Linked DNA regions of Diceros bicornis minor. The protein of the gene in region 3 interacts with the protein of the main gene of each other region in a pairwise test. Links are inferred from orthologs where the notes say so. Each region holds a gene or a part of one and is shown on either strand. Other genes may lie near its edges. The genes, in order: TSC22D4, POLR2J, POLR1C and MKRN3.

Region 1 (7,234 bases), on a different chromosome or scaffold from region 3:
GCTCACGGGGTATCAGAGAGGGGCTCTGGTCTGCACTCCAGCATCTTCTGCCAGCTGAACCAGGACCCCTAATCAGAGGCTAGTCAGAGAGTGTCTGCCTTCTGTCACTTGGCTTCTTAAAGCAAGTCAAATGTCACTTCCTCAGAGAGGCATTTCCCCATCATTCTAGTAGTGGATTCCCCCGAACTGTTCTATTTTTTTATAGCACCTAATATTATAGGAAATTAAAGTATTTTTGTCTCTCCGCTGCTAGAAGGTAAGCTCCAGAGGGCAGAGCTTAGTTTATTCAATAGCTATTTGTAGAATGAATGAATCCTCAGAAACTGGTCCTCCACGCCCCCCACCCCCCCACCTCCCATTCTAGCCTCTCCTCTCAAACTTCTCGGTCTCAGGTGAAGTTCTGCTCCTGCGCTTGCTCCCTCCTTGGGGGTGGGGGGGAGTGGTTGCAGAGATGGGGGGAGGCGGAGCCTGGGTGTGGACCCACACAGTCCAACAGGCGCTGGGGGTGGCTGCAAAAGGGCGGGGGCCACAGGAACAAGACGCCTCTGTGAGGCCCCAGGAGGCCCCAGCTTCTCGGAAAAGCCAAGAACTGAGTCCAGGGTGGTTAGAGGGACAGAGCAGAGGAAGGGGGCCCAGGTGGCATGGGGGAGTGTGGAAGGGAGACGGACTTCTGGGCAGGGAAGCAGCAGCACAGATGCAGGCACACAGGAAGGGATCAGGATGCAGGGGAAGCAAAGGGGCTGGGGGCACTGAAGGGAGAGGGGCAGGGTCAGCGGGCCCAAGGGAAGCTCAGGCAGGGGTTAAGGACAGACAGAGGCTGGGGCGAAGGGGGCCTGCTTTGGAAGAGTGTGGGGACAGGGACCAGTAAAGGAAACAGCGTCTTCTCCCCTGGGGTAGGAACTGAATGAAAGAGCTCAAAAAAAAACTCAAGAAAAGTAGGGGTGAGGGGAGCACGAGAGATGTGAGCTTGCGGCCAGAAGGGGTGGGGGGGAGCCAGTCCTGACCGGTCCTGACAGGGCCCAGACACCCAGTCTCAGGCTATTTTTATACTGTGGTCTGTGCCCAAGGCCAGGAAGGGGAAAAGCTCTCATCCTCACACTCCCTGACTTTCCTCCTGCAGCTCAAGGTGTTATTTTCTCCTTCAGGACAGACACATCCAACCCCCACATTCCTCGCTGCCCACCCCCCACCCCAGGGACCCAGGCATCCTGCCCCCCAGCCCAGACTTGTTCCTCTTTTGGAGACAGGAAGCAGAGAGAGCAAAGGATTTAACTCTTTCTCAGCTGCTTCCCACCTCTCCCACTCCATGGTGGCCACCCCTAGTTATCGATCCTGGAGAGGCCCAGATGCAGGGAACTGAGACAGACAACCGGGGGTGGAAAGGACATACCAGCAAGGCCCCCATCCTTGTAACGGGCCCCCCACCCAATTCCTCAGGTCCTCGGAAAAATTTGGCTTAAGACAAAGCTGAAGACGGGGCTGGGATGGGTGTGTAGTGGGAAAAAGAAGACCCCCACCTTTGGAATGGGGCTACAAAGGACAGACTTAGAACAGAATGCCTACTTGTTAACCTGCCCTGCCAACCTTGGCAGCTCCTCTCCCAGAGGCCCAACCACCCAGCCCTGCCTGGGGCCTCCACCCTCAACGCCTGAAGCCAGAAGGGGTGAGACCAAGACAGAAGGTGAAGGCCAGCATGGGGAGGCCACATCCCTGTGATGGAGAGATGGGACTACGCTATATGGAGATGGCGACTTGGGCCAAAGGCAACAAATGACAGGCCAAAAAGAAAGAAAGAAGGTGCAGAATGTGGGGAAGAGGGAGCCTGAGAGAGAAAACAAAGGCAGTGAGAGGAGGAAGAATGGACTTCCAAGTGAGATGGCAGGAAAAAAAATGAGAGGCTATCTGATCTGACAGACAGGTGCTGATGAAGTGAGGAGAAAGTGGTATGGAGGTGGAGGCAAGGAGGCCCAGGCTGGAGGTTAGGCCAAGGCTGAGACGCACCACCCCTCAGGTGTCTCCCCGACTCTGGAACCCAGCTCTTACCTGCCCCATCTCCTCTGGAGGAACCAACTCCGTCCTCAGCCGCAGGGCTCCATCCTTCGTTCGGGACAGTGGAGGGGTCACGGCTGCTGAGCCCCCAGCCTCCACTTCCACCCTCAGGGAGGGCAGGGGCGTGGCGGCACTGGGCGGCCCCATGCTATCCCCAGTCCCAGGCTCTGGGGGGTGCTGCTGCGGTGGGGAGGCTGACATGGGGGGTGTCTCCCCCTTGGCCTTGCCAGGCACCGCCAGCTGGCCCAGCCCCCCAGTGAAGGAACGGGCCTGAGGTCCAGGGGAGGTGGGAGGCGGGCGGAGCCAGGAGGTGGGGCCCTGAGACAGGCTTGGCTGTGGGGTAGGGGCGCCCAGGCCCAAGCTGGCCAGCTCCAACCTGGAATCCAAAGATCTGCCCCCGGTACCCCCCGAGGCCCCTCGAATTCCCTCCAGGAGCCTGCCAAAACTAGGGGGCTCCAGGTCTCTCTCGTAAACATCCACACACGTCCAACGGCCTCGGCGATAAGGCTCTCCCAGGCCGTGGGGCAGCTTCACCACCCGGAAACGGGAGGCTGGGGCCCCAGGCGGCGGGGAGCCATTCCGGGGGGTGCCCTTGCCCCCCGGCTCAGGGTTGGGCTCCCCATTGGGCAGGCGGGGCGAGGGCCCGGTGGGGGCCGGCGGGGTAGGGGGATCTGGATCCCCTGGGCTCCCTGGGCCGTCGTAGTCCGTGGTGACGCTGGTGATTTGGAAACTACTCTTCTTCTTGCCCCCACTCATGGTCCTTGGGGCTCAGGACTAGGCCAAGGTGGGCAGGGGGGCAGTGGTGGATCTTCGAAGGGGCTCAGGCGCCCCTGGAACAGGGGGGCCACATGGCGGGTACATCAGGGCCCCTGGGGCCGTCTGGGTCCGACATGGCAGGAGGGCCTTGCGGGGAACTGGGGGTGCCTGGTTGGTGAAGGGAGAACAGGGTAGGGGTGGTGGCAGGAGCGGGGGTGGGGGGGGCCCGGCAGGGGCAGGTTTTTCCTGCTGCTGTCGCTGCCGAACTCCAGAGCTGAGTTTGCAAACTGGAAAAAGAGAGAGAGTGTGTATGTGTGAGAAAGCAGTGGGCAGGCCACCTCCGGGGCTTCCTCTCTGGGGAGCAGGATGGGGGAGGAAGGGGAAACCGCCAGAGACCCAGAGACAAAGAGACAGCCAGAGACGACAGAGACCAGGGCAGACGGGACGGATCCGAGCGCGCGCACAGAGCAGGAAGAGGCAGCCCAGACCCAAAGTTGGGCATTTCTCGCCTGGGATTCAAACTCACGGGACCGAGTCGTCCCAAGGGCAAGGGCTCCAGGGCCTGGGGGAACGGGGGTGAAGCAGCTCCTCGGCCTGGCCCGGCCACCGGGAGGCCTCTGCTGAGCCTCGAGGCCCGGCACCCCAGCTCCCCCATCCCTGGGGCAGGCCCTGCCCCTCCGGCCCAGCGCCCCGCCCAGCCCAGAGCCCTACCTCTCGGCTTCGGCCACCGAGCTGGGCCGGGGGTTCCGGCTGCCTAAGACGTCCGGCTGTCCTTTTCCTGGGGCCTCCCGGCCCCAGCAGCGCGGGGCGCGCAGGTGGCGACCAGAGGCTGTCCGGTCCTCTTCAGGGGCAGCACCTCGCCCCGCAAGGCATCTCCGTGAAAAGTTTGCCCTCCAGTAAAGAAGGAACCCCCGCCTCCTTGGTGGAGTCCAAGCGCGGCCTCTGAAGCCCCAAGGGTCTCCGGACCGATGCGGGAGGGGGCGGCTCAGCCCCCCGCTCCTCCAGGTGGAGCCGCCTCGGTGGTCGGGGCGAGTGGGTCTCCCAAGTCTCCTCCCGCGTGGCCTTGCTGGGTCTCTCTCGGCTCCTCAGCTCCTCTCAGTTCTGTCTCTGTCTTTCTCTTTCTGGGCTGTTGACAACCCCCACACCAGGAAGTCCTGCCTCCTCGGGCCTGCTGACTGCTCCTCTCCTCCTCCTCCTCCTCCTTCCCCTCTTCCTCCGCCCCCTCTCCTCCTGGGGCTCCCGGCCAGCTGGCCCGGGGCCAGGCCTGCCACCGCCGCTGCTGGTGCAGTTGCTGCGGCTGCTGCGGCTCCTGGGGCCCCGACCGAGCTGCCTTAACCCCACACCTGCTGGGCCCTAGCCCAGCTCTTCCTCGGAGGGAGGGGCTGTGGAGGGCGGAGAGAAAGGGGAGGAGTTTGAGCGAGGCCAGGGATTCCCTTACTTGTAGGCGCTCGCTGCCATTGGCCTACAGACACCCAGGAGTGGGAAGGAGCTTAGCCGGAGCTCTGCTGGGCGCCTGCCGCCCCGTAAGCGCCCAGTAAATGTTACGGTGCTGCTGCAGCTGTTAGTGTCATGTCTTCGCTGGTTCTCACAGTAACTGTACGAGGAAGGTTATTCTCCCCTGTCCTGATTTTAAAAAGTGGATTATTATGACAATTTTCAAACATGCCCCAAAGTAGAGAGAGTAGTGTCGACAGTTATCAACTCACAGCCAGTCTTGTTTCATCTGCCCCCCAATATCTTTTGTTGTTTTGTGCTGGAGTATTTGAATCACATCCCAGACATCATAGTATTCCCCTTCTTAGATGTGGAAATTGACACCCAGGAGGTTCAGAAAAGCTGTCAGTGGTGGCGCAGGGACATTTCATACAGTCAGAGGTGTTCTTGTCTGGCCCCCAAACAGAGAGACAATGAAGACACTCTCGAGAAGGTGCTGACTGGCACTTTCTTTCCAACCGCTGGTCACACATATGTATGTACACGCAGTCACCCAACACACATGTGGCTGAGGATGACGAACCCAGCTGGCCACCAGCATGGGCCCCTCCCTACCTCTCACCCTTCCTGCCTTTCCCATCCCGTCCCTCCCTCACTCTGGTGAGTCCACACACACTCATAAAGGGCCTACTATGTGCTTGGCATGAAAGAATAAACTGCCATTTTCTCTTTTTTGGCTCCCCCAACCAACATTCTAAAAGGAGTTATTTTAGCAAGAGCCATGTCTAATGGCCACATCTGCCCTCACTCCCAGGTTCAGAAGGAAATGGAGTGTAATTAATTTGGGTCAAATGGAACGGGTCTAGAGCATATTAAAAATTCCTCGTATTTGTCCACTTCACATGGTTATCTCATGGATTCTCAAAACAGCCCTGGGCAGAAGTGGGGTGGGTTTTGAGCTAGTGTTTCCGCTAAGGAAACTGAGGCTTACAGGCATTATTTGCTCAAGGCCTCAGAGCAGGTGTTGGATGGCGTTGAGACCAGTGCTGGGCTCTGACACATCCCTCCTTCCTCAGCTTTGGCTCATGGAAATTTTTTTTTTGTTTTTTTGGGGTTTTTTTTGCTAGGTAAGATTAGCCCTGAGCTAACATCTGTGCCAATCTTCCTCTACTTTATGTGTGGGTTGCTGCCACAGTGTGGCTGACAAGTGGTGTAGGTCGGCAACCGGGATCCGAACCTGTGGGGAATGTGCAGAACTTAACCACTACTGCAGGGAGCTGGACCCTCATGAAAATTTTTAATCACTCTTTAGGGTTAAGCAAAAACAAAATGATGCAAAATCCTTTGCCCCACGTTTATATATTTATTCTTTATCTCTTTGTTAAAATGCGTCTCTACTCCTGCCTCTCTCCCTTCATGGAGACAATGGCTACCATAGCCAAGTCCTGAGGCCTCCCAAGGCGTGAGGTCCAGGAAGCAGCTGAAGTAGCCTCCCACACAACTCCCCCTCCAACCCCCTCCTCTCTGGCAATATTCAGAACAGAGCCCTGTGCTCCGCCCGGGATCCTTCAGCGCAGACTTGCTACGAACTATTCAAAACTTATCTTGGGACCCTCCCCTTCCCACCAGCTCAGACGCTCAGCATCAACTTGGACTCCTCCATGTCTGCAGTCGCTGGGACGTTGTTGGTCTCTGTGGACATGCTTGTTGAATGAATAAATAAAAATTCATTCACACTAAGGCGTAAATGTGAAAGGACTGGTATGTATTTTATTGTTTTTCCTCCCCTGGAGGCATTTATAACAGCCCTTTAATGTGTGGGGCCCTTTACGATTTACAAAGCTCTTGGTAGTCATTATTTTGCTGCCTCCCAACCACTTTATTGAGGTAGGTATGAGATGAGGCATCTCTCAGAGGGGCTGTGCCATTTGCCCAAAGCTGCACAGCACATCAGCAAAGACTTTGCCATATAAAGTAACATTCACAGGTTCCAGGGATTAGGGCGTGGATATTTTATGGGGGTCCATTTTTCAGCCAGTTAAGGGTAGAACCGAAGTCTTGCAGCTATTGTGCGGCAAAGAGATTTCCAAGGGAGAATTTCTCAGGGAGCCGATGAGAAAGGTGATGCGAGGCGGGGGGCGAGGTCGCGACCCTCCGCGGCCGCCGCGACCGCACCTGGGCCGTGGCCGCGGTGGTCCCAGTGAGAGGCCGACCCCGGGGCGCCCAGGTCTCGGCAGGCGCCGCCAGCGGAGTCAAAGGTTAGTGGGAGGGTGACTTGGGCGGCGGGGACGGACGGGTGGAAGACTTTGAGCCCAGGCGGTGAAACAAGGTCCGGGCGCCTGCGAGGCTGCAGGGATAAGCGACGGGTACCAAGCGAGCCAGCTCCCGTGCCCTCCCCGCACGTGGGGGGCGGCGGGAAGACGGGGCGCGGCCAAGGGAGCACGCCCCCTGCTGGGTAGAGACGCAGATGGTCCGGCTTCCCACTCAGAGCCCCTCGGCCCGGAAAGCGGCCCCCCCTGCCGGCCTCGCCACCTCACTGCACTCGGGGCCCCGCAGCTGCAGCCTCGCCCCGGCCCGACGCGGGGTGCGCACCCGGGGAGCGCCTGGCGCACGGGGTACGCGCGTCGGTGCAGACCCCCGGCTGCCGCTGGGGGGCGCCGCTGCACGCTGCGCCCCGCTTCGCTCCGCCGGGGCCTTGGACACTGAACCGAGCACGGCCCGGCCGGGCCAGGGGCGAGGGGAGGCGAGGAGCGGACGCCCCAAAGCGGGGGCGGACTGGCGCCAGGTCCCCCGCGCCCCACGATCTTTCTCCGAGTCCCCCTGGGGGCTCCGCGGCCCTCGTGCCCCCCACCCCAGCCTGGCGGCGCAGCACAACGCGGCCGCTCCAGCTCCGTCCTTGGAGGGTGTGGAAGGGTGGGTTTGGGGCCGGGGGCGGGTCTGGGGGCGGACCCGGAGGCGGGGCTGTCTCTGCGGCAGGGCCCAGCTCGGCTCCCCC
Region 2 (7,381 bases), on a different chromosome or scaffold from region 3:
AGGCCCTGGGGCTCAACTCCGTAACCCCTTAGTCCACGCTGCCTAGAGGCTGTGGTGGAGGTCCCTGCTCTGTCATCACCTCTGTCCCTCCCTCCACAAATAAATCAGAGGAAACGACCCAGGGCTCATCTTATGTGGCATGAGAACACTGCAGCTCTGGGCACAGGCTGGCACCTAGACCACCCCGACCCCCAAGCTGCACATCTGGTTCCTCACCCGGAATCGCTCTTCCAGCAGGGAGAGCTCGCTGATGAGGTCTGTGATGGCATTGGTGAAGGCCTCCTGGGGGCTGTAGTCTGGTGTGGTCTGCACGCGGATGATGATCTTGTGCTCCAAGGGGTGGGGGACTTTGTAGCCAGCAAACAGCACCTGTGGGTCCTTCAGCAGCTGTCTGAGACAGAGAGATGGGCAGTGTGAGGGAGGCGAGCCCAGTGCCCCTGGGGCTTTGGCCCCTTCTGGCTTACCAGGCTTTCTAACCAAGGAATCTTCCCATTGGGTTGAGGCGTGTAAGCAAATACACTGGGAGCTGACCCCAGGTGGTTCCCTACTCTTGATTTTTAGTGTTTTTTTTTTTTTTGTCCCCCCAAAATCTTCAAAGACAACAGACTTGAAGAAGATATACCATGTGGGCACTCCTCCCACACCCCCCTACATCCATGAGCATCAAGGACCCTAGCTGGTAAACAGGGTTTCCAGCAACCTCCTCCCTCAGGGGAAGTCAGGGACCCCGCAGCGCCCACAAAGAGACCTCCCTAGGCTGTAAACATCCAGCCAGTGTTCAGTAAACCAGAACACAAAAGCCCCATTCCAGCCCCAAAAGAGCATCTGGCACAGCAAATAAAGGGAGCAGGGGCCCCCAGCTCTGAGCAGTGAAGAAATGGAGATGGAGGTCCTTTGGGCAACACCAGCTGGCAGCTGCTGTCCACATGTGGGGTCCTGTTCTACGTGGCTGTGTGAAGTGAAGCCTGCATCGTGTGCTGTGCCCTGGGCAAGCGGGGTCTCTCTCCAGAGCAGCTCAGTCAAATGTGAGCACCAAGAAGGAGGGCCCTGGCACAGGTGGGGACACTGGGCTCACACAGCAGCGGAGCAGCAGGGGTGCACCACTGGCTTATTCAGGGTGGGAGTCATTCGGACAGAAGATGGGCAACCCCACCCCCTACTTACACCAGGAGACCAGGCGGCTCCCGCCTCGGCCTCAAACACGCAAACCTGGGAGAGGCCTGGCTTCACTGATGGCACTGTCGGCAGTGAAATGACACGTCCCTGGGCCAGAGCGGCAACCACGTCACTGACCACCCACCTGGCCAGGACTTAACTGGTGTAAACATACTCACCAACCAATAGCAGGAACCCACCAGGGGCACCGGCTAACCACAGAGCCCCTCTCCCACTTCTTATTCTGTTCAGTTTCAGTCTCTGCCACACACATCTAGAATGCAAGGTGTCACTGCGGTCATGTTACCAATAGGGGCACCAATAGGGGAGCTAATCCTGACTGCTTCTCTGTGCTTATTAGCACAAAAACAGACAGACTTAAGAAAATCTTCTGGACCTGATGCTTTGCCTCAAAGAGCCCCATTAAAGGCAGCCCAAGAGCCTTGGACCTGGAACTTACGATTTAATGATGTTTCCCAGCGTGTGGTCTTCTTTGTTGATGGTGAACAAGCAGGCATTGGGTACCTTGGTGTCCTTGTTAATGGTGATCCTAGGAAGAGGCAGAGGCAACAGATGGGGGGCAGGGGCTCCCCTCCTCCCCCGAGTCTAAACCCTGCCCTTCAAGGCAGGCTCAAGTCCCACTTCCTCCTGGAAGCCTTTCCCAATCTCTTCGTCCCATGAAGACCCCTGACTCAGGGCAGCAGTGAGTCTCTACCCTGACCCCAGCCACACCCTGACTCCGTGGGACTCGCGCTGACTCTGGATTGCTCCTTTCCCTAAAGCGGAGTTTCTTAATCTTGGCACCACTGACATTTTAGGCCAGATAATTCTTCTCTGTAGGGGGCTGTCTTGTACACTGCAGGATATTAGCAGTACCCCTGGCCTCTACCCACTACATGCCAGGAGCACCCCCTTGGTGACAACCAAAAATGTTTGCAGACATTGCCAAAAGCCCCCCCTGGGGGGGAAAATGGTCCCCGATCGAGAACCGCTGCTCTCAGGGACACTGAAGTGCCTGGCAAGAGGCAGACCACAGAGCCCTGCAGACCAGGCTGTTCAGAGAAGGAAAAGCCGACGTTGAGGGTCTTCTATGCCCTGAGCCCTGGACTAAGCACTTTACATACATTACCTGATTTAATCTCCCCTTAGCGAAAATCCTGTGATTTAATGCAGTAATAAGCCCATTTTCCAGATGAGGAAAGTGGGCCTCAGGCAGACTGAGTCACTTGCCCAAAGATACAAAGTCCTTAAGGGGGGGATCCAGGAGCCAAGCCGAGCTGTTTGACCCCTAGACTACATTCTCCTTCACCCTGCAGGCCGTGAGGAGTCACTGAAGCTTTTACACAGGGGAATGAAGATCGGATGGGAGTCTACGAGCCCCCACTCTGGCTGCAGCAAGGAGGATAGAGGTGGCAGGCAGGAAGATGAGTGAGGAGGCTGCCAGATTCCAGAAAGAAAGGACTTTGGAGCCAGACATTCTGGGTTCGAATGCAGACCCACCACCTCCTGTGCTCCTGGGGGAGTTACTTAACCTCTCTGAGCCTCAGTGTCCTCATCTGCAAAATGGGGAGACTCACCACCGCCTCGCAGGCCTGTCTTACTTTGGCAGACTCGGCCGAGCGGACGCTCAAGCAAAAGCTGCTTCCATCCCCCGCAGAGGACGGGCAGGAGAAGCCCCAGAATCTGCGACCGACCCTCGGTCCGACCCTCCCCGCCCCGGCCTGCTCCACTTACTTCTTCTCGCCCTCGAAGAGCAGGAACGACTCGAAGGCGGGAGGGGCGTTCATCCCAGCGCCTCAACCGGCTCCAAAGTCGCAGCTGCTGCCACCACTGCCTCCACAGCCCTACAGCGTAACCTCTTCCGGGTTAGCGGCTGCTTCCGTGTTACGCCGGCAGTGCCAAAGCCGCGTGAGGACCGGCTCACCGCCCCCTATCGGACTGGAGGATCTTGCGCAGGTGCGAGAAACGCCCGCGGGAGGGACTATGGGAGGCTGGTGGCTCTGCGCATGCGTGAGTCCGGAAGTTCCTCTCGGGGGTTCGCCTGCGGGCGCACTTTGGCGTATGCCCCGAGCGCTGAAGGGTGGTCTGTTCGTATTGAGACGTCGTCGTCCAGGCTAAGCCGGAACCTTGAGCTGTCCCTCTCTCCACTCCCCATACCCCTTTATCCTCTTTGGAAATGTGCCCTTGGAGTACGTAGCAAGAGGCCCCTGAGTGGAGAGTGGAGCCATGGGGTAGTGTGCAGGTGTGGCCGGGGGAGCGCGAAAGAAACCCCCTTGAGCCGGACGGTTGTGTATGGATAAAGCCCCTGCCCAGGCGGACTGCTACAAGACCCCTGGCTGGGTTGTCACTGGCTTGTCAAGTGGGCTTGTGGCCTAGTGAGCTTCTTGTTAGGGGGACAGTTGGGTGAGGGCTGGGGGAGGAGGCAGGTGTGTGTATAGAGGTGTGAGAGAGGCACTCCGAGGGATAAGTGTATCCGTCCCTGTTTTGATTGGTTGATATGTTGCAGACTACAGTATAAAGGCCCTACCTGAGCTCTTTGAAGCAACAGGGGCTGGTTTCTCAGATCAGCGACTGGGGCCCTAATAGCTTCCCAGGTGTTTCTTCAGGGCTGGGCAGCAGCTGAGGAGCCCCCCAGGAAATCTGGAGCTTCCACCACCACTTCCTGGCAAGGGCCCTTTCCTACTTGAGCCTGGAGTGCTGGGGTGAGGAGTGTCATTATTTGCGGGAGGCCCACAGAGAACCTTCACTCTCCAGGCCAAGAGGGTGGGGGCCTCTAACTGGTGTGGAATAGAAGGCAGTGAGGGTAATGATGCTCCGAGATGGTACCCTCACCCTTCTGGGTTATCCTGGAAAAGTTTGGGCCAAGGATTCTACCGTTGCCAGGGTTACTGAGGCCTGAAGGTGACGAGGCTGGCCACCCTTAACTGGGGTAGGGACAGGGTGAGGAGAGGATTTTTACCCAGCAGGGGCTCCACTCCCTGCCACTGTGGAAGTCTGTCCTCTCTTGGGGAGTTCTGGTCTCACTCACCCTTTGATTCCCAGACCAACATGAGATCCTGGGCTCCAGAAGCTGTCAGCCCCCAGAGTCTTCAGCGGCTCAATGCAGGTGTCCCCAAGGGGAGGCCAAATGAGCATTCTCACCTCTCATCTTCTCATAAGACTAAGAGAGAGAGGCCTGCTGGGCACCACTGTGGAAGGGGCTGCTGGAATGTGGGGTGTTGAGAAACATTCTCCAACCTTGGAAATAAGGTGAAAGGCAAGTGTGCGGCATATTCTATCAATGTCATACTGGAGCATTGTTGGACAGGTCTGACCAAGGGTTATTTCATTAACTGGGGCAGAGATCGTAAAATGTGAGGGCTTGTGGACCAAATCAAGCCTGCCACCTATTTTTGTAAATAAAGTTTTATTGGAATACGCCATGCGCATTTGTTTACTCATTGTCTGTGGCTGCTTTTGTGCTACCAGAGTAACTGGGACCAAAACCTGCATGCCTGGGCCTTTGCAGAAAAACCTTGCCAATCCCTAATCTTGGGGAACGGACCTTTGTTTTACTTTGATATTTATTATTTGATTAAAACCTAGACACTGAAGTTACTTACTAACTTGTAGGTTTCTATGCCATAGAGAAGAAAACTCCATTAACCAGTTTTGTATCAAATATCACAATCTTATTCTAGCAATCTGTTCTTGGAATGCTTACAAATACCCAGCTTCTCAAAACGCTCTACAAACCAGCTTTGCCAAACACTCATTTCCTCCTTGAAGTGTAATAAATCTTTGATACATGTTCATTCTATATTTGTATGTCATTTTTTTATGTATTTGAAAATTACACTTTGACAGGAATTTCCCAAGAGGCGGCTGGTAGGAACTGCCCCATATTTCCTATGAGACAGGCCTGGAGGATGAAAGACACATGTACTGTGTGAGCTAGGCCCACCCAGGGCTGCGCAGGGTGCTGCCCTGTGGTGAATGCCAGCCCCCTTGGCTGCAAGCCTCTGAGTGTCCTATCAGACATCTGGGGGACCTGTCCAGGCCCCAGGTGAATAACAGGCCTGGCAATCCCAGGGTGACGTGGGGGTGGGGTGCAGAGTCCCTGGGCAGGTGTAGGGTGTGACCTTCACACCCTCCTGTGCTGTGCACAAGCAGGAGTCTTTTCTGTCTCTCTCCTTTTCCAGGTGGCTTCCAAAACGAATGTGGCACCCTGGGCTGTAGGCAGCTCTGCTCAGAGCCTGAGAGGAGAACCTGGCGTGCGGGGTACATGAGCAGTGAGGGCAGTGCCAGGCACTTATTCATTTTAACCCCCTCCTGGCCACAGTGGCCACGCCCACACCAGGATCCACTGGAGGAGAGGGTGGCGGCTGCTGCCGGGTGGGTGGCTGTGTGTGTGCAGTTACAATCCAGAATTTGATTTGTTGCCACCCCAGTAAGTGCTCACCTCTCTTTCCCCTTCACTTCCTGCATTAGGGTTCAGTAGACCCTGGGGTCCATACTTCCGGACCATGAGGTCCTTGAACCCAAGAAGATCCACAGGCATGAGGATTTGGGTGAAGCCTACGGAAGTAGCTGGAGAACCAGATGTTGTGCTGTGGGGAGGGGCGGAGCAGGCTCAGCCACCCCTGGACCCAAGCCTGGGCCAGGAGGGGAAGGAGGCCCGGCCCTGCAAAGAGGCCCATGAGGCCCCTAGGATGGTAGCATCCCCACCAAGGAGTTGAGTTGGTGGGCTGCTTGGGGGCGGGGGGACAATGCCCCCATCAAGGCTGTGGCCAGGAAAAGAGGTTGACATGGCCCCCAAGCCACAGGGTAGAGTGGAGGGGGCAGCCCCTTGCTCCTTCGACCGCCCCCCACCCCATGCCTTTCTACGCCATCCCTCAAGGAACCCAGTATGCAGCCTGCCCAGATGGCCCTGCCCCAGAGCCTGGCTGGTGAGCTGGTGCAGGGGTCCTGCCTGTGACCCAGGCCCTTGGGGACTGTCCTAGGCTAGAATTCACAGGCGAGGCTCCAAGCTTGGCTAAATAAGAGTTTTAAGAACATGTTGGAAGACCCTGCCCCTCTCCCGTCTTGTTAATTATGTTGGAGGTTACTGTGTACCTAGAGGTGGATCGGGATGAGGATGGGGAGGTGACGACAGAGGTGACCTTGCTTTGGCAGAGAGGGCTGGCATAAAGGACACTGCCAGAGCCAAGCCCGTGATTCAAGGGTCTGAACCCAGCCCCGCTGTGCAGTCTTCAGGACACTTGGAGGAAATGCCTGTTTGGGGGCTGTGAGGAGAGGGGCAGCTCGTGAGACACATCAGGCTCTGTAGCCCATGGGGGACAGAGAAATGGGACCAAGGGGTGTGGTGGGGACAGTGGCTGGGAGGAGAAAGGAGCACCCCTCAGGATGGGGGGAAGCAAAGAAGGGGCAATAGGGATTCGCAGAGGCCATGCTGGTGGCCCCAGTCCTTGGCCACTCCCACCCACTCCCTCCCCCAACCCCCATCATGAGACGCCCGAGTTGTGACAGTCACAGCAGGTTTATTGTCAGCAAAAGAGCACCGTGACACTCTCCCGGGGGGCGCAGCCAGTGGCCATGAGGGGGGCAGGCGGGGTGGTAGCCGAGAGCACAGTGGGTGCTGAGGTCGAGGCCTAGTCTCTGGCCCCATGTTCCCTCCTGCCTCTCTGGGTCCAAGGAGCGTCGGTCCACCTGGGCCTGGACTATCCTAGTGGTGGTTCCTGGCTGCGTCTGCCCTGGGCAGAGAGGAGGGTTCCTGGGGAGTCTGGGATAGTGGTGGCAATGGCTGCAGGGGCCGTATGGAGCAGCCAGACCTCAAAGAGGAGCGGGCGCTCCCGAAGTCTCCTAGAGACTTCAGGTGGGCCATGCTGGGCAAAGCCTTGTCAGCTCTGCACTTCTGGACCCCCTTGTCCCTGGCTCCCCCAACTCACCCGGCCCACAAGAGACCAGGCCGAGTGACAGGGACTGAGATGAAGGGCCAAGAGTGCACCAGGGGTCTCCAAGCACCTGGCAGGGGCTGGCGAGGGGGTGTGGGGCAGGCCTCACGTCTGCGGTTGCAGGCGGCGGCTGGGCTCTGCGGGCAGGGAGCCGGCTGGGCTGGATCTATGGGCCTCCCGGAGGTTCTGAAGCACCTGCAGCAGCTGGGCCAGCGGGTCCTCAGGGGCTGCAGGCAGACGCAGGGTGAGGCAGAGCAGGCAGGGCCTTGCCTGCCAGCACCTGACCCGGGGCC
Region 3 (7,525 bases):
ACCCTTCTTCACGTTCCCTAAGCCACTAACAGCAAAGGCCCACTGGCTTTCTGCCTGTCAGGGACACCTCAGCAGAGTACCTCAGTCACACGTGGCCCCACTGTAACTGAACTGCCCTCCTGCCCAGGGCAGCCCATACAGTTCTTACCAATGCCTTTGACACAGTGCATGAGCAAGTCAATCTCCTGGCCAGGCCGCAGCTGAGCAATGAGGATATCATCATGCACTGGTCGGATAGTGCCCTCCGGGAAGAGGTCAGCCTGGTTTCCCAGGGGCACCCATGTCATGTGCCTGGTGTACACTGCGGGGAGAAGCACATCAGAAGACCTCAGTCCCTAAAACTAGCACCCACCAACAGGTGGGCCTTCTCCCTCACCCTACCACTCCTCACCTTTGTGGTTTACATAGAGTTCATTGGGGTCAGAGGAATCTTTAGCAGCATGGGGGTTCCGAGTACACCTGACTTGCAGCCGAAACTGCAGAGTATCTATCTCTGTGCCTTCTTCATCTCCTGCAGAAAGGGGGGAGGTGGCAGCTCTTAAAGAACTAGTCAACGTTTGAGTGCTAGACACCATACTGAGTGCGTTGTTTACATTTCTCATTTAATCCTCTTGACAAACTGAGGAAGGCAAGGGCAAGTGTTCTCACAGGTAACAACTGATGTACCAAAAAATGAGTAACTTGCCCAAGGTCATGCAGTAGTCAATCCAGGATTTGAACACAGGCAGTCTGATTCCAGAATCTACTTCACAGGCAAACTGCTTGCCTTTTCCCAAAATTTCACTTTCTCAAACACTCACCTTGGTTCCGATATTCAAAAAGACGGGGATCAGCATGAATGGGAATGAGCCCCAAGCGATGAGCGAGGATCTCATCCTGGACAATGGACGTGTTGTTGTACACCAGGACCTTTTCCACAGCCATGGTTGGCACCTGCCCAAGAAATAAGAATCATCTACAAAGATCTTATAGACTCCCCATCTACTCCCTGCCTCCTGACATAGGGAGATGGGAGAGACCTCTTCCTAGAAGAATGCTTGATAAAAAGTTTTCAAAGAATGAGGAGAAATGCTCAGCAATATTACAGGAAAAATAAAGAGGAGGGGTGGCTTGAGATAATTCTCCAAGCGAGGCCATGGCACCGTTTCCCCTCACAAGTCCACCCTTGCCACCATGCCCACCAATACCTCGGCTAACAGAATGCGTCGAAAAGCATTGGCTATGGCTGCGTCGATTCCCACCATGTCAAACTCCAATGAGTTTTCATCCATGTGTACCACATCCACACGGAAATTCTAAAAGGACAGGAAAAGCACTAAATGAAGTCTGTTCTCTATAGAACAAGGTACCTACCCTCTGGATCTTCCTCTCAACGTTTTAACATTCTCTCTCATCCAAAAACCTCCCTTGGCCCAGATGTCCCTCATTAGATGTTCCTTTCTCCTCCAATCCTTTATTAGTTTCTTGAAAAGTCTTCCTGTTTTTACCTTTCATTCATTTAAAACCCTCTGCCATATGGCTTCCAGCCAGTCCATCCACGGAGGCTATTCTACTAAAGAACAGGCTTCCATGTGACACTACTTAACCCTTATCTTACTAGACTCCTCTGCTGCATTTGGCATTGTTGCTAGAATCTCCCTCTTTTCAAACTACTGCCTTGATTTCTGAGCACCAGTCTTCTGGTTCTCTTCCTTCTTTTTCTGATGAATCCTAAATTCACTATCTTCCACCCACCCCATAAATGTTACTATTTCCCAGGTTTTTGTCTCTCTCCAGAGTGACCTGACCACACTCATGGTTTTAGCAACTATCTGTACTAACAACTCCTCACATTATATCTCACTTCTGATCTTATTTCAAACATATATTCTACTAGCCTTCTAGACTTCTCCACATGCAGGAAACGGAACGCATCATCATTCCCCTCCCCCAGACCCATTTCTCATCAGTAAAGGACACCACCATCCATCAAAGCAGTTCCCCGAGCTAGATCATCTCACGCTCCCCCTCACGGCCCATATCAAAGCAATCACCAAACTCACCTTCTCTCTCTCCTTTGCTCTATTTCCGTGATGATAATCTTAGTTCATGCCTTCAACCTCAGCTCCCTATACAATTCTATCACAAATCTGCCTGCCCCATATGATGATCCTCAGATTCATTCTCTCCCAACCATTAAAGTTGCAAATCTTATCAGCTCTACTTAAGAGCTCTTCAAAAGCTCCTTATTCCTATGCACGCCGGCCCGCTTTACATTCTAGCAATAATTAACTGCTTGGACATACCCGGAGCACAGCTCACAAAGGCCTTTATAATTCAGCTTCTGTTCTTAGTCCTTCCTCACCCTTCGCTGTCGTCAGCTTCCACTCACCGTTTAAAGCTCAATTCAGATGTCATCTCCTTCAGGAAGGAAATCATTCATACCTCTGCCCCCTTTCCCATTCTAGATTAAGTGCCTCTGTGGGATACCCCTCACCCCACCCGCAGTCTTCCTTACTGCTATTCACCGCTTTTACCACATCATACTGGAATCATTTGTTTACGCGCGCTCTTTTCCAACAAGACTGAACTTCTTGTTCGCAAAAGAGGGCAGAAACCGTGCACACGGAGTGCCTAGCACACTGCTCAATAAACGTTTCATGAACGGAGCGAACCCCCAAGGGCACCTTGTAAGGGAGGGGCTGCTCACATCACACGGTCCGTTCCTCATACCCTCTCCGGCCCCACCCACCTTCTCGAAGCGGTCCTGGTCCCAGGCATCATCATAGCCGGAATAGTTACCGGGAAAGTCGGTGGTATGAACCTAGGGCAAAGAGACGAGTCTGCTGCGAAGGGGCAGCGAGCCCAAGTCTGTCCCCACATCGATCCAAACTCATCCCTGTCTCGCTCTCATTTCTCCTCCCGAGGTCAAGGGCACAAGGCTTACATTGCGAACCCCGAACTCCCCTAGAACCACGCGGCTCCGCATTTCTTCCACCGCCTGCGCCGCCGCCATCTTCAACCTCTGCACGTGACTAGAGCAGCAAACTGACGCGTGCGTTCTAGTCGCCCTCCTCCGTCTCCGTGGCAACGCACCACCTCCTGGAATCTTAAATATCGCGAGATTCTGCCCCGCCTCCGTCCACGTCCCCAACTTCCGGCAGTCAGTCTTGGCCAAACATCCGGGTTCGTCTCTTTTGCGTTCCGGTGGGTCCCACCTCTCTCTCTCTCGTCCCTGGACATCTCCCTCCGTCAGTCCCACGTCTCTCCCACTACTCCGCGCTCGGTGCCAGCGCGGGCTTCAGCGACGGGGGCTCTCGAGGGCCATGGCAACTACGGCGGCGCCGGCCGGGGGCGCCCGAAACGGGGCTGGCCCAGAATGGGGAGGGTTCGAAGAAAACATCCAGGTAATGGCCCCAAGGCTCCGACTGCTAGCAGCCCCAGGGCCGGCAGCCGTCCTGAAGTGTCGTGGGGACCCTCCCTCGGAGCCTGGACGTCTGCTCCATTTGCAGCCCTTTTGCTCTCCTTTGGGTCTTCGTGCACACGAAAGGCAGTGGGGCTAGTGCTGACCTGAAAGGTCCAGACTGGTACTCCAGCCGGAGGGCCTCAGATCTCTGGGCTCGCCCGCTCTTTCGGAACAATTAGGAGGTCGGTCGGGGTCCACTGGCGCTGGCTAAAACCATACTGTGTACGCAGCCTCGTTTAGGGGTTGGGAAAGACAAAGGAAATGGACACTTTTGGAGCCCTTTGAGGCTTTGATAGGGAAGATAGGACAAAGACAGGTATGGAAGACAGGGAGTAGGTTTCCCAGGCAAGAAGAGAGCCAACCAACCAAGCGTTCTGAGAGCAAAACAGGGGAAGATAGTGGCATGATCTGTGGTGATTCCAAGCCATATCCCCAGCAGTGACAGAACAAGGCCCCAAACCCTGGGATGAACAGAGGAGGACTTAATGGATGGAGCAGAAAGGTCCTGCACTCTAGGAGCCATTGTCTTCACAGGGTGGGGGCTCGGCTGTGATTGACATGGAGAACATGGATGATACCTCAGGTTCCAGCTTCGAGGACATGGGTGAGCTGCATCAGCGCCTGCGCGAGGAAGAAGTAGATGCTGATGCAGCTGCTGCTGAAGAAGAGGATGGGGAGTTCCTGGGCATGAAGGGCTTTAAGGGACAGCTGAGCAGGCAGGTGGCTGATCAGGTAAGCAAGAGTGGATCCCTGGCAGGTGGAAAAGTATACCTAAGCAGGCCCCAGGTTCTGGAGTTGGTGTTGAAGTTCACCCCAGATTGTCCAGTTAGAACCATGTAGAAATCCAACAGAAAATAAGCTACAAGGCCTAGAGCCAAGAGTCTCACAATACCCACCCACCCCACCCCCGTCTTCCTTACTTCAGATGTGGCAGGCAGGAAAGAGACAAGCCTCCAGGGCCTTCAGCTTGTACGCCAACATCGACATCCTGAGACCCTACTTTGATGTGGAGCCTGCCCAGGTGCGAAGCAGGTGAGGATTCTTCTCCTGACAGAAGCTGCCCTCTTAACACCTAGTCCTTCATCCAAACCACAACCAGATACCAAGTCTTAAGCTCCCCTCTTCATGACCCCCGCAGGCCTCATCATTGCACCTGTGCCCAGCCACACCATACCTCTTACCCGTCATAGAACAGGACATGGGGATAACGCATTGCCTTTTTCCTCTTCTCCATCTAGCAAACTACTCATCTTCCCTCAAAACCTAGCTCAGATGTCACTTCCTTTGTTCTCCATTCCTCATCCCCATCCTTTTTGTCCTCTCCTAGTGGTCCTATAGATCTTTCTGCTTTCCTCTAGCAGATAAAATTTCAGCCAAGCTGTACTTTCTTATTCCTGTGTCTGTGTCCCCAGATTCCACCTCAAAAGCAGGCTCTGTTTTATTTTTTTATTCCCAGCACCACAACAGTCTCTGAACCAGAACATCAGTGCATAGTTGTTGAATGACTTTTCAAGAACTGGATTTAATCTTGGCTTGGTTCTTTGTTTACCCATTAATGTAACCAATGCTTATCAAATACCCAGTACCACTCCGCAAGGCTTTATGAAGCACTTGCTCTGTGCCCGGCACTTTAGTAGTTATGTCTGATTCAGTGGTAAAGATGGATGAGAGCCTTGCCCTCAAGTGCAGTTACAATACAGCACTCATGTGCTATGATGGGGCACACGGGAGGATCACCTGGACCCAGAGTAGGCTGGAGGGTGGGACAAGGCAGGTTTGCCAAAGGAAGTAAAATCTAGCCAGAATCCAAGGTATTATTAGGAGCTACCCGCTTAAGAAGAGGGTGAGGGAGTGACTTGTACTTTTTCTTCCTTTTGCCTGGACGTTTTTACCACTTAGCTATATTTTAAAGAACATGCTCAGCAGTGCCTGGAGAAATGGTAAGCGGGAAGAGGCAGGAGGCACACTGGCTCCCTCAAGTAAAACCTTTCCTTGTAAACCTCTCCCAGGGCTTCACCTTCACAGCCCTGAATTCTGGGCATTCTCCCCTGGGGTTTGCCTGTCTTTTAAAGGGGAGCAGGTCAAATAGGTAAATGATCATGCCTTCTCCTGAGGCCCAGCTGGGCTGAGTTCTCCATTTTGCTGTTGCATCAGTCAGCACGGCATCGGAGGGTTGTCCTTCCTGGAAGCATTTTTAGGGGCAAGGAAGTGATTCCCTCATTCCTTGTCCATCTTTACTGTTCTCTTCTCCCTTTACCATCCAGCATGTTCTCTGGAGTTAGAGAGATGAATAAGATTCAGGCCCTCCAGAACCTCATAGCCTAGTGCTGCCTCTGCTCTCATCTCTCCTCTCCTCTCCCAGGCTCCTGGAGTCCATGATCCCTATCAAGATGGTCAACTTCCCCCAGGTGAATAGGGGGTAGCATGTCTGGAAGAGCCCGGGGAGGCACTAGGGCAGAGGGTGGGGCCACCAGGCAAAGCATGGGAAGGCATCAACAGAAGGGCCATTGTACTCTCCAGCCTGAGTGAGTTGGTATATTGACAGAAAATCGCAGGTGAGCTCTATGGACCTCTCATGCTGGTCTTCACGCTGGTTGCCATCCTCCTCCACGGGATGAAGACATCTGACACCATTATCGTAAGCAGGACAGAGGACTTTGGGGGGTGGCTGAACTGAGTTGAAAGCTGCCCAAGGAGACGATGGTGGAGTGAGGTAGCAGCAGCCTCTGAGGAAGGCCCTGGGGGAGGCTGAGACCAGAGGCCTCCCAGGACTAAGTAGAGCATTCATCCCACAGCGGGAGGGCACCCTGATGGGCACAGCCATTGGCACCTGCTTCGGCTACTGGCTGGGTGTCTCGTCCTTCATTTACTTCCTCGCCTACCTGTGCAATGCCCAGATCACCATGCTGCAGATGCTGGCACTGCTGGTAAGGAGTCCCGCATGGTGGTGGGCAAGGGTGATCTTAAAAGAGTAGCTAGGCCTTGGTCTGCATCTGTCTTGGGGCCCCAGGGCATGGAGTGGGGTGAGCTGGCCAGTGGACCACTTCTTTGTCAGGGTCCCCATGAGGGTCTAGGCCAGCCCAACCTGAGTGATTTTCCTCTCCACCATCCTCCTTCCTAGGGCTACGGCCTCTTTGGGCACTGCATCGTCCTGTTCATCACCTATAACATCCACCTCCACGCCCTCTTCTACCTCTTCTGGCTGCTGGTGGGGGGGCTGTCCACCCTGCGCATGGTAAGCTGGGCAAGAGGTGTCCAGAGGTGGGCTGTCCTCTCAGGGAGTTGGGTTAAACAGCCCAGAGCTCGGGCAGAACCCCACAAAGGGCTCTCAATGGGAGGGAGGAGCCCAAAGATGGTTCTGCTCCAGGGAGGAGTGTCATCTCCACACTGCTCACTTCGGAGCCAGGCCCTCTGAACTGTATTCCTGTGGCTCTAGGTGGCAGTGTTGGTGTCACGGACTGTGGGCCCCACACAGCGGCTGCTTCTCTGTGGCACCCTGGCTGCCCTGCACATGCTCTTCCTGCTCTATCTGCATTTTGCCTACCACAAGGTGGTAGAGGGTGAGTGACAGGAGGGCCTGGGGGGGCGGGGAGAGAGCTGCCTAGGGCAGGGCCCAGCTGACTCTCACTCACCTTCCGTCCTCCTTTCAGGGATCCTGGACACACTGGAGGGCCCCAACATTCCACCCATGCAGAGGGTCCCCAGAGACATCCCTGCTGCGCTCCCTGCTGCTAGGATTCCCGCCACCCTGCTCAACGCCACAGCCAAGGCTGTCGCAGTGACCCTGCAGTCACACTGACCCCACCTGAAATCCTTGGCCGCCCCCCTTTCCCCCAGCTGCGGAGCGGAGGAGGATTAAAGGACAGTACTGATGACATGTGTCTCTTTGATGGGGTCTGCAGCTGCCACAGAGCTGTAGCCGCTTAAGCACCTCCTTGACGCCTGTCAGGGCTTCTGAAGGGCACAAGGCCAAGAACGCGTGGCCGGGACTGCAGGCTCTGCAGCCAGTGCAGAAAGTGGGCCAGCTCCTCCGAGGCCCTCTCCACCTACCCCTTCCTTCCTCTTTGTCTCTCCCACGAT
Region 4 (7,153 bases), on a different chromosome or scaffold from region 3:
TCTTCCTAGTAAATTATAGTTTTTTACATACCATCCTTATTTATCTACAGTAATATGTTTTTCTTTAATATGAACTTTGTCTATGATAAAAAGTCACAGCACCTCTGTTTGATTTTTTCATCTTCTTTTAATGTTTCTATATTCTTATACTGTAGGTGTGTATTTTAAATAGCAACAGATTCATTTTAATTTTAATCAAGTCTGATAATCTTTTAGTTTTTAAACCATTTTCATTTAATCTAATTATGGTGTATTTGTATTATAAACTTTCCGTATTACTATTGTATTTAGTTTTTGTTACTTTCTACATTCTATTTTTAAATTTTTCCATTGTTGCATTCAGACTGGTTTCAATATTTTTATTATTTTATTTTATATTTTATAATCTTGTCACTTATATGTTGAAATTTTTGTCAAAAGCCCTTTGTTTGGAATGTCTATAGACAATACAAAATATTGAATACAAAAACTGTGTGTATGAGTCCAGGATTGTACTGTTATAGGAGATAATGAGATGATGCTAAACTGCATGGGAACACACATTTTTATATTTATAATAGCAGAGTGAGCTATTAATGCCATCATAGGAAAGACCAATGCCATATTTTGTAAGTCCTTTAAGATCTGTCTGCCACTTTTGACCAGAGCCTCTTGAATAGCTGTTTTCATCAGATGCTAATCACTGAAGCCTGTGAAAGGGAAAGATCATTCACACACCTCACACTCACACAACACAGTGAATCCTATTAGCCTTTGACTTCCAGCTTCCAGCTCCAAATTTACTTTATTACATAAACATTATAGCATAGTATGATGTATATCTTTTATATATATTTTCAAATACATAACTTTTATACACATTTATATGCATCTCTCTCTTTATATATATATATATATATATATATAATTCTTAAATACACACTTCCAAATATAAATAATTTCACATCAAGCTAAACAGGATAAAAACATGTAAACATATGCACCTAGTTCTGGTCAAGTAAAACACAAAACCACAAGGTAACCACAAGTTAAAGAGCGCACTTGAAGGGGATGAGGGAAGGAACAACATGTAAACAACAAGAGATGAGCAGCTGCACCACAAGGCCCCGCCAGGGTCCATTTCTTAAGGCTGTAGTAGCAAAAAGCTCCTTGTTCAGTTAAGACTTCTCCCTTCACCCTGTCACATTTATTCTTGAGGGACTTCAAAATGAGTGTGGAAATTCTGTAAACACTAGACTAGAACTGAGTCACTCCTGTTGAAAACAGAGACGACAAAATAAACCATAAACTGACAGTAATATTAATTTCACCAAACAATAACTTTAAGGACTTTCGATTGCTTTTTAACACAGTGAGACACCATAATCATAGGGGGAAACAAATGGGATGGGCAAGAAAACAGAGATGGATGCTCCATGAAAATGACTTCAACAGCCCCTGTGAGTGACAGATGTGTCTACAAACAGAAAACAGGCAATAGCGGATGACGGAGCCTCAGCACACTAGACCACATGCCACAGCATAATGCTACAGACTCAAATTGAAATGTTTTTTCTAGCTCATAATGAAGCAAGTCCCACTGGTCCTCTGAGAAGGGGAGCTCATTATCTCCCAGTGAAAGGAAACACTTAAACAACAGATTGGCCAGCCGAAGCATGACAAGCTCTTTTTTACAGCTTTTAAAGGGCATGTCGCCCTCTCCCACCTGCACAGGATCCTCTCCCAGGCCCTCAGGGTCTGCATGCTTGTAAAAACAGTTCTCTCCAAATGGGCAATAACCCCCGCTTGCAGCAAAATACCTGCAGGTCTTGTTTCTCATTGCCTCCTTGTACTGCTGAATAAGTTTCTGCTTCTCTTCTTCTTCCTCCACCCAGAACTCACTGGGAATAACAAGGCTGGAAGTGACCCTGCACTGCGGGCAGGATTTGACCAGCCTGCTCCCAAAGTGTTTGGCACTCCTCCACCTGCGGATACACTTAAGACAGTAGGCGTGGTTGCAGTTGGAGAGGATGCCAAAGCGGCGGTCACTGGGGTTGGCTCTGTCATACACCACCTCCATGCAGATGCCACACACTTTGTCCAGACTGCGCTGCACAGCAAACGAGAGTTCCATATCCTTCTCGTGTGCTTCAATGCAGGCCCTTACATGTTCTTCCCTCTGGACAGCATCCACCGGGTGTAAGACCTGTAGCCCACACATATCGCATATGTCTCCGTGGACATACATACATCTCTCCCCACGAAAGCATTGCCCCATGATAGCATCGCGGCAAAGCTGCTCCCCCGTGCCCACAGCAATCTGCTCCCTCTCAGTCACTGAGCTCTGCAGAGGAGCCTCGGGGACAACAAGGGCCCTGCGGCCCCGGTAGGGTTGCCCGGGAACAAACTCAATGGCATCCGCCCAGCCTTCTGCACCTGCTCCTCCGGCAGCTTCCAGGCCTGCACTCTCTCTCTCAGCTTCAAAGAAACCCCTTTCAGCAGCCGAGCCAATCACAGGCAAGGAGCGTGAGGACGCAGCAGGGGGGGCTTTCGCCACTTCCTGAGGCAGGGTCTCAACGTGCGCAGCCGTGCTGGCGCCTCGGCCTGCAGAGGCCCCAGGCGGCGAACTACGACCCTCCCTGGCCATCTGCCGGCCTGAGAGGTCGTGGGAGTAGCGACAGTTCTCCCCCTCCTTGCACCGCCCATGCAGATAATACCTGCAGGTGATTTGCTTTGTCCAGCTGCCGCTGCTCCGGCTCGGCAGCCAGCTGGGCCCGGCCCCTCCCCCTGAGGCCTGGGCAGGCCTCCGACGTGACGCTCGGAGGAGGGCCGGGCTCGGAACCGCAACTTGCCGGGGGGCAGGGCGCACGGGCAGACGGGGCCCTCCAGGACCCTCCCCTGCTGCCGCAGCACCCGTAGGGGCCCCAGCTGCCTCAGAGGCTTCAGAGGGAGCTGCAGGCTCTTCCATGGCAGCTTCTGTGCCCTGAAATGGTGCCGGAACTTCCCCGGTGCCTCTTCCTTTTGGGCTTGAGGCCCGGAGGTCAGTAACCGGCCCGGGGCTCGTCTTTGGGAAATGTGCATCTCTTTTCCTTCCCCCCACTCTCTACTTCCTGTGACTATGAGTTCCTACTTCCCTTTCTGGGCAGGCGCGGCGGACACTTCCTGTGGGAACAACGTCAGTCCTCTGTCGCGTCCGTACGGCGTGCTCGGATCCGTACAGCTGGCATGAGAGTCGGAGCGGAAGCTGCCTTTGTTTGCATCAGGCAGGGCTGCCAGCCCCTCCTCTCCAGCCTCTGTCTTGCTCCGATGCACGCCAGCTGATCCCCCAGCCGCTCGTCGGCCGTCTCCCGTGGAGGACGTAATCGCGGCCTTTGAGGTTTTAAATTTAATCTCTTCTAGCATTCCTGATTGCTTTTTCACATATGTCTATTTTAAAAATCACAATTCTGTCTTCCCCCCTGTGCTTAAAAATTCACCTTGTAGTTCGTGAAATATCTCATACGTGAATTTTATAATTTTATAAATTATTTTGCGTTCACTCCCTTTTGTCTGTGTGGGTCTTTTTTTTTTTTCTTTGTCTCATGACTGTAACTTCTAGAAGCTTTTTCGGTACATTTTCTTGACGATGCGTCATATTTTCTGGTCTTTATTTTCTGGAAATTCATGTGGGCTTACATCGGGAACGTTTTTCGCCAGCAAGGCGTTAGCGGGAGCGCTTGTGATCTGAGGCCGCTTTAGCACCTTTGAGATGTCTCAGCTCATTGTAGTCTCTCTCTCTCCCCTCCTGTGCAGAAGCCGCAGGCTTTGTCCTGTCCCTATGCTGGCTTAATAAGCTGCTGTCCCCTATGTGACCCTGGCTTTTATTTTCTCTTGCTGGTTTAACTCATGGTGGCCTTTTGTTTCCCTTTCTTTCTTTCTTTCACCCAGCTTTGTGTGGAATTGTGGCAGGCCAGTATTTCGTAACATATTCTATACCCTTCTGCTCTCAAATGGTGCCTTTTAATTTCCCTGTGTGTGAGCTCTGTTATTTTGCAGATAGATGTTATTAGATTAGTAAAATAAATTATATTCCTGCTTTGCTAAGAGTACTAACCATGAATGTATAGTGAATTTTATCATGTAGTTGTTTGCATTTTTTGAGAGATGATCATATGGTATTTTTTCCTTTTATTCTCTTAATGTGATTATTTGCACTGATAGATTTTCAAATATTCAACTTACCATTTTTTTCTAAGAATAAACCTTTCTGTGTTATGATGTATCATCATTTTATATATTACTGAATTTTTGTTTGCTAAAATGAATTTCTCAGAGGGAATTCTATAGCCTAAATTTATATTTTAAAATGGGAGAAAGTTTGAATGTAGCACAGAAATCAGATTGAAGCAAATAATAAAACTAATAAATTATTAAAGAAAAACAAACATGAAGTCAGGGGAATGAATCAAAACCCTTTGAAAGGATTATTGAAACAGATACATTCTAGTGAAATTTATCAAAAAAACATGAAGGCTCAAATAATCAAGATCAGAAATTTTAAAAGTGTTATAAGTACATTAATAACAGACATTAAAATCATGAGAGGATACCAGGAACAAAGTTAGGCCATTAAATTTGAAAAATTACATGAAATGGTTATATTTCTAGAAACATGTCTATTAATTAAAAATGACAGGAGCAGAAGTAGGAAACATAAATATTGATCTGTTAGATAAATGAAATCTGTAATTAAAAATAATTCTCTAAATGAAAGCTTTTAAAGCTTTCCCTTTGAAATAAATAAAAAGGAAAAAAATTTTATGCTTATTGTTACAAGTCCAAGCCAGTACAATGAGGCAAGAAAAGAAATAAATGATGTTAGAATTGGAAAGGAACTATTAATGGAAGACAGCAGAAAACTGAGAATAATTTACTGATAAACCATTAGATTTAATAAGCACATTTAGCAAGGACATTGGATAGGAGTGCAATATATAAAATCAGTTATATGTATATCATCAATATCACTTAAATATTTAAAATTCATAACATTAAAAGTTAACTATCCTAGAAATTAAAGTTTTAAAAATTAAAATCATGTTTATTTAAGAAGACCTAAACAAATCGAGGAATACTCTGATTATGCAGTGAAAGTCTCAATATTTTCAAAGGTAGTCTTTTCCTAATTTGATAATCATATGAGAATGTTGCTGTTTATCCACCATGAATCTAGGAAATCTTGGTGATTTTGAATTCTCCTTTATATAGTTATTGAGTTTTGTGCTGAGGATGCCAGTTCTTCCAAAGTCAGACTCACTTGCATTTGCTTTCCTTTCCTAAATGCGTTGGTTCATGCATATTCCTTTTACAGTCCCGAAGATTTTCACAGGAAAAAAGACTTGGAGCACAGATACTAGGCTTATATACCAGGCTCTTCACATATTCATGAATATAAAAATCCTGAACATAAGCCTATTATTTGTTTAATATATTCCCAGTACTGTGTCTAAATTATATTTGATCCATTTTTTATAGACAAGCACTGTCCAATAGAATGTTCTATGATGATTTGATATTTGTGCTATCCAGTACAGTAGCCTTTAACCCCACATGGCTCTTGAGCACTTGAGATGTGGCTAGAGTGACTTAGGAATTGAATTTGTATTTTTTTAATTTCAAAATTAATTTAAATAGCCATATGTGGCTAGTAGCTACTGTCTTAGTGAAGTTCTAGATAGTATGTGATCATCCCATCGCCTCAAACAAAGGAATGGAGATTTCCTAAATTGCCCAAGGCTATGCAGCTGCCACGGGGCAGGGTTTGCCTTCAGATCCCCACTGTGTGGCTCCCACTGGTGTTCATGTCCTACCATTTCATAGTGTACTATATCTTAGAGTTTTATAGTGGCAATATTTCATATACACTATTAGAAACTAAAATTGTACCCCATGATTATAAATATCACGTGAAATTGAATAACTGGAAATAATGGGCAGTGCGTCTTTAGAGAAATGAACACATAGTTCCTGTCCTGATCAAATACCTATTCTCAGAGAATTTTGTCTGACTGTCATAGATCATATTCTTGTCCTGATTTTTTTTTTTGAGCACTGATGGTTTCATACAGTCTCTGAGAACACACATCTGATCATTTCTCCAGTTACTGGGCTTGGCTGAGCCCTCTTTTCCCAAGAAACCTTAGGGCTGGGACCTGGCCGAAGCTAACTTGTACACACACCAGTCTTCAGGCCAGCATGAGATCTCCTGGCTGGTCAGCATTTGGGTGTCCAAGTGGACTGAATAAAAGCAAGGCTCCTCCTCAGCAGGCTGCAATAAGCACCTAGGTCACCAGGAGCAGAGTCACAAGGGGGGAGGTGGTTTACAGCACTGCAGGGCTGAGGCACAGTCCAGGCAGTGTAACAAAAGCCCAAGAGGTAGGAGACTAGTACAGAAGTAGAGTGTAGGATGGATAGAAAAGAGCCAGGAGGCCCGGCAGTCTTTTATTCCAAACAGCTCAGGCCTTCTGGGCCCAGTCCCATGTGGCTGATGTGTCCATATTTAAAGGACACAAATTGTTTCAAAGCAGTTTGCTCCCCCACACACACCTGCTTCAGATCCAACATTTAGGCACTACTGGAGTGTGTGAGGGCGTTAAAAGAAAGTGTCTAGAATGAGGCATCAGGGATTCAAATCTGGACTCTATACTCTCCAACTAAGAATTAACCTTGGGCAAATTAATCATCCTCTTTTAGCTCATCTGGAAAATGATGGGAATAATAATACTAATAATAACAATAATAATAATGAGTGATTATCTCACAGATCTACTATGAGTATTAAAAGAGAGAATTTTTATTAAACGATTGGAACAGTGCCTGTTACAAGGCATAGTCTTTGAGATCTCCATAAATGTCCTTTGTATTTTAGAATCACTCAAATCATCCTGTGAGTAAAGTCTCTAGGCACAGTCTCTTTTTATGTTTCTGGATCCAGCAGTAATATGTCTATAGGATCCCTGGAAATTCTTGCACATAAGAGGTAGTGAAAGAATACTTATTTTCTCATACTGTTGGACAAACTGATTTTTATTTTGAAATTTACAGAGACAGTTTTCTGCAACTCTGGTTCAGAAGTCCAAACTCACCAAATTTCATGCATTAATTATGTGCAGTTTTTTGTTTATTAACTATATCT

What was found.
Region 1: the proteins of POLR1C (region 3) and TSC22D4 interact in binary tests that used the Homo sapiens proteins (3 or more experiments, as listed by UniProt). The two-hybrid records come from large-scale screens. The link is inferred for Diceros bicornis minor from reciprocal best matches to the Homo sapiens genes POLR1C and TSC22D4.
Region 2: the proteins of POLR1C (region 3) and POLR2J interact in binary tests that used the Homo sapiens proteins (3 or more experiments, as listed by UniProt). The link is inferred for Diceros bicornis minor from reciprocal best matches to the Homo sapiens genes POLR1C and POLR2J.
Region 4: the proteins of POLR1C (region 3) and MKRN3 interact in binary tests that used the Homo sapiens proteins (3 or more experiments, as listed by UniProt). The two-hybrid records come from large-scale screens. The link is inferred for Diceros bicornis minor from reciprocal best matches to the Homo sapiens genes POLR1C and MKRN3.

What each region holds. Positions count from the first base shown.
Region 1 is NC_080765.1:5,317,172-5,324,405, reverse strand, and holds the start of TSC22D4 (TSC22 domain family protein 4), read right to left. Parts: upstream 3,004-7,234; 5' UTR 2,806-3,003; coding exon 2,044-2,805; intron 1-2,043.
Region 2 is NC_080765.1:3,707,907-3,715,287, reverse strand, and holds the start of POLR2J (DNA-directed RNA polymerase II subunit RPB11-a), read right to left. Parts: upstream 3,019-7,381; 5' UTR 2,943-3,018; coding exon 2,890-2,942; intron 1,706-2,889; coding exon 1,616-1,705; intron 392-1,615; coding exon 217-391; intron 1-216. Other genes in the region: RASA4B (ras GTPase-activating protein 4B), read right to left, coding at 7,194-7,315. UniProt on the Homo sapiens protein: Core component of RNA polymerase II (Pol II), a DNA-dependent RNA polymerase which synthesizes mRNA precursors and many functional non-coding RNAs using the four ribonucleoside triphosphates as substrates.
Region 3 is NC_080753.1:22,256,431-22,263,955, forward strand, and holds the start of POLR1C (DNA-directed RNA polymerases I and III subunit RPAC1), read right to left. Parts: upstream 3,019-7,525; 5' UTR 2,996-3,018; coding exon 2,927-2,995; intron 2,804-2,926; coding exon 2,732-2,803; intron 2,445-2,731; exon of another isoform or gene 2,043-2,444; intron 1,296-2,042; coding exon 1,188-1,295; intron 934-1,187; coding exon 801-933; intron 512-800; coding exon 392-511; intron 302-391; coding exon 149-301; intron 1-148. Other genes in the region: protein YIPF3, read left to right, coding at 3,306-3,386, 3,980-4,177, 4,371-4,477, 5,808-5,853, 5,991-6,083, 6,241-6,372, 6,567-6,680, 6,882-7,005 and 1 more. UniProt on the Homo sapiens protein: DNA-dependent RNA polymerase catalyzes the transcription of DNA into RNA using the four ribonucleoside triphosphates as substrates.
Region 4 is NC_080744.1:77,047,418-77,054,570, forward strand, and holds MKRN3 (probable E3 ubiquitin-protein ligase makorin-3), read right to left. Parts: upstream 3,020-7,153; 5' UTR 2,948-3,019; coding exon 1,457-2,947; 3' UTR 312-1,456; downstream 1-311. UniProt on the Homo sapiens protein: E3 ubiquitin ligase catalyzing the covalent attachment of ubiquitin moieties onto substrate proteins.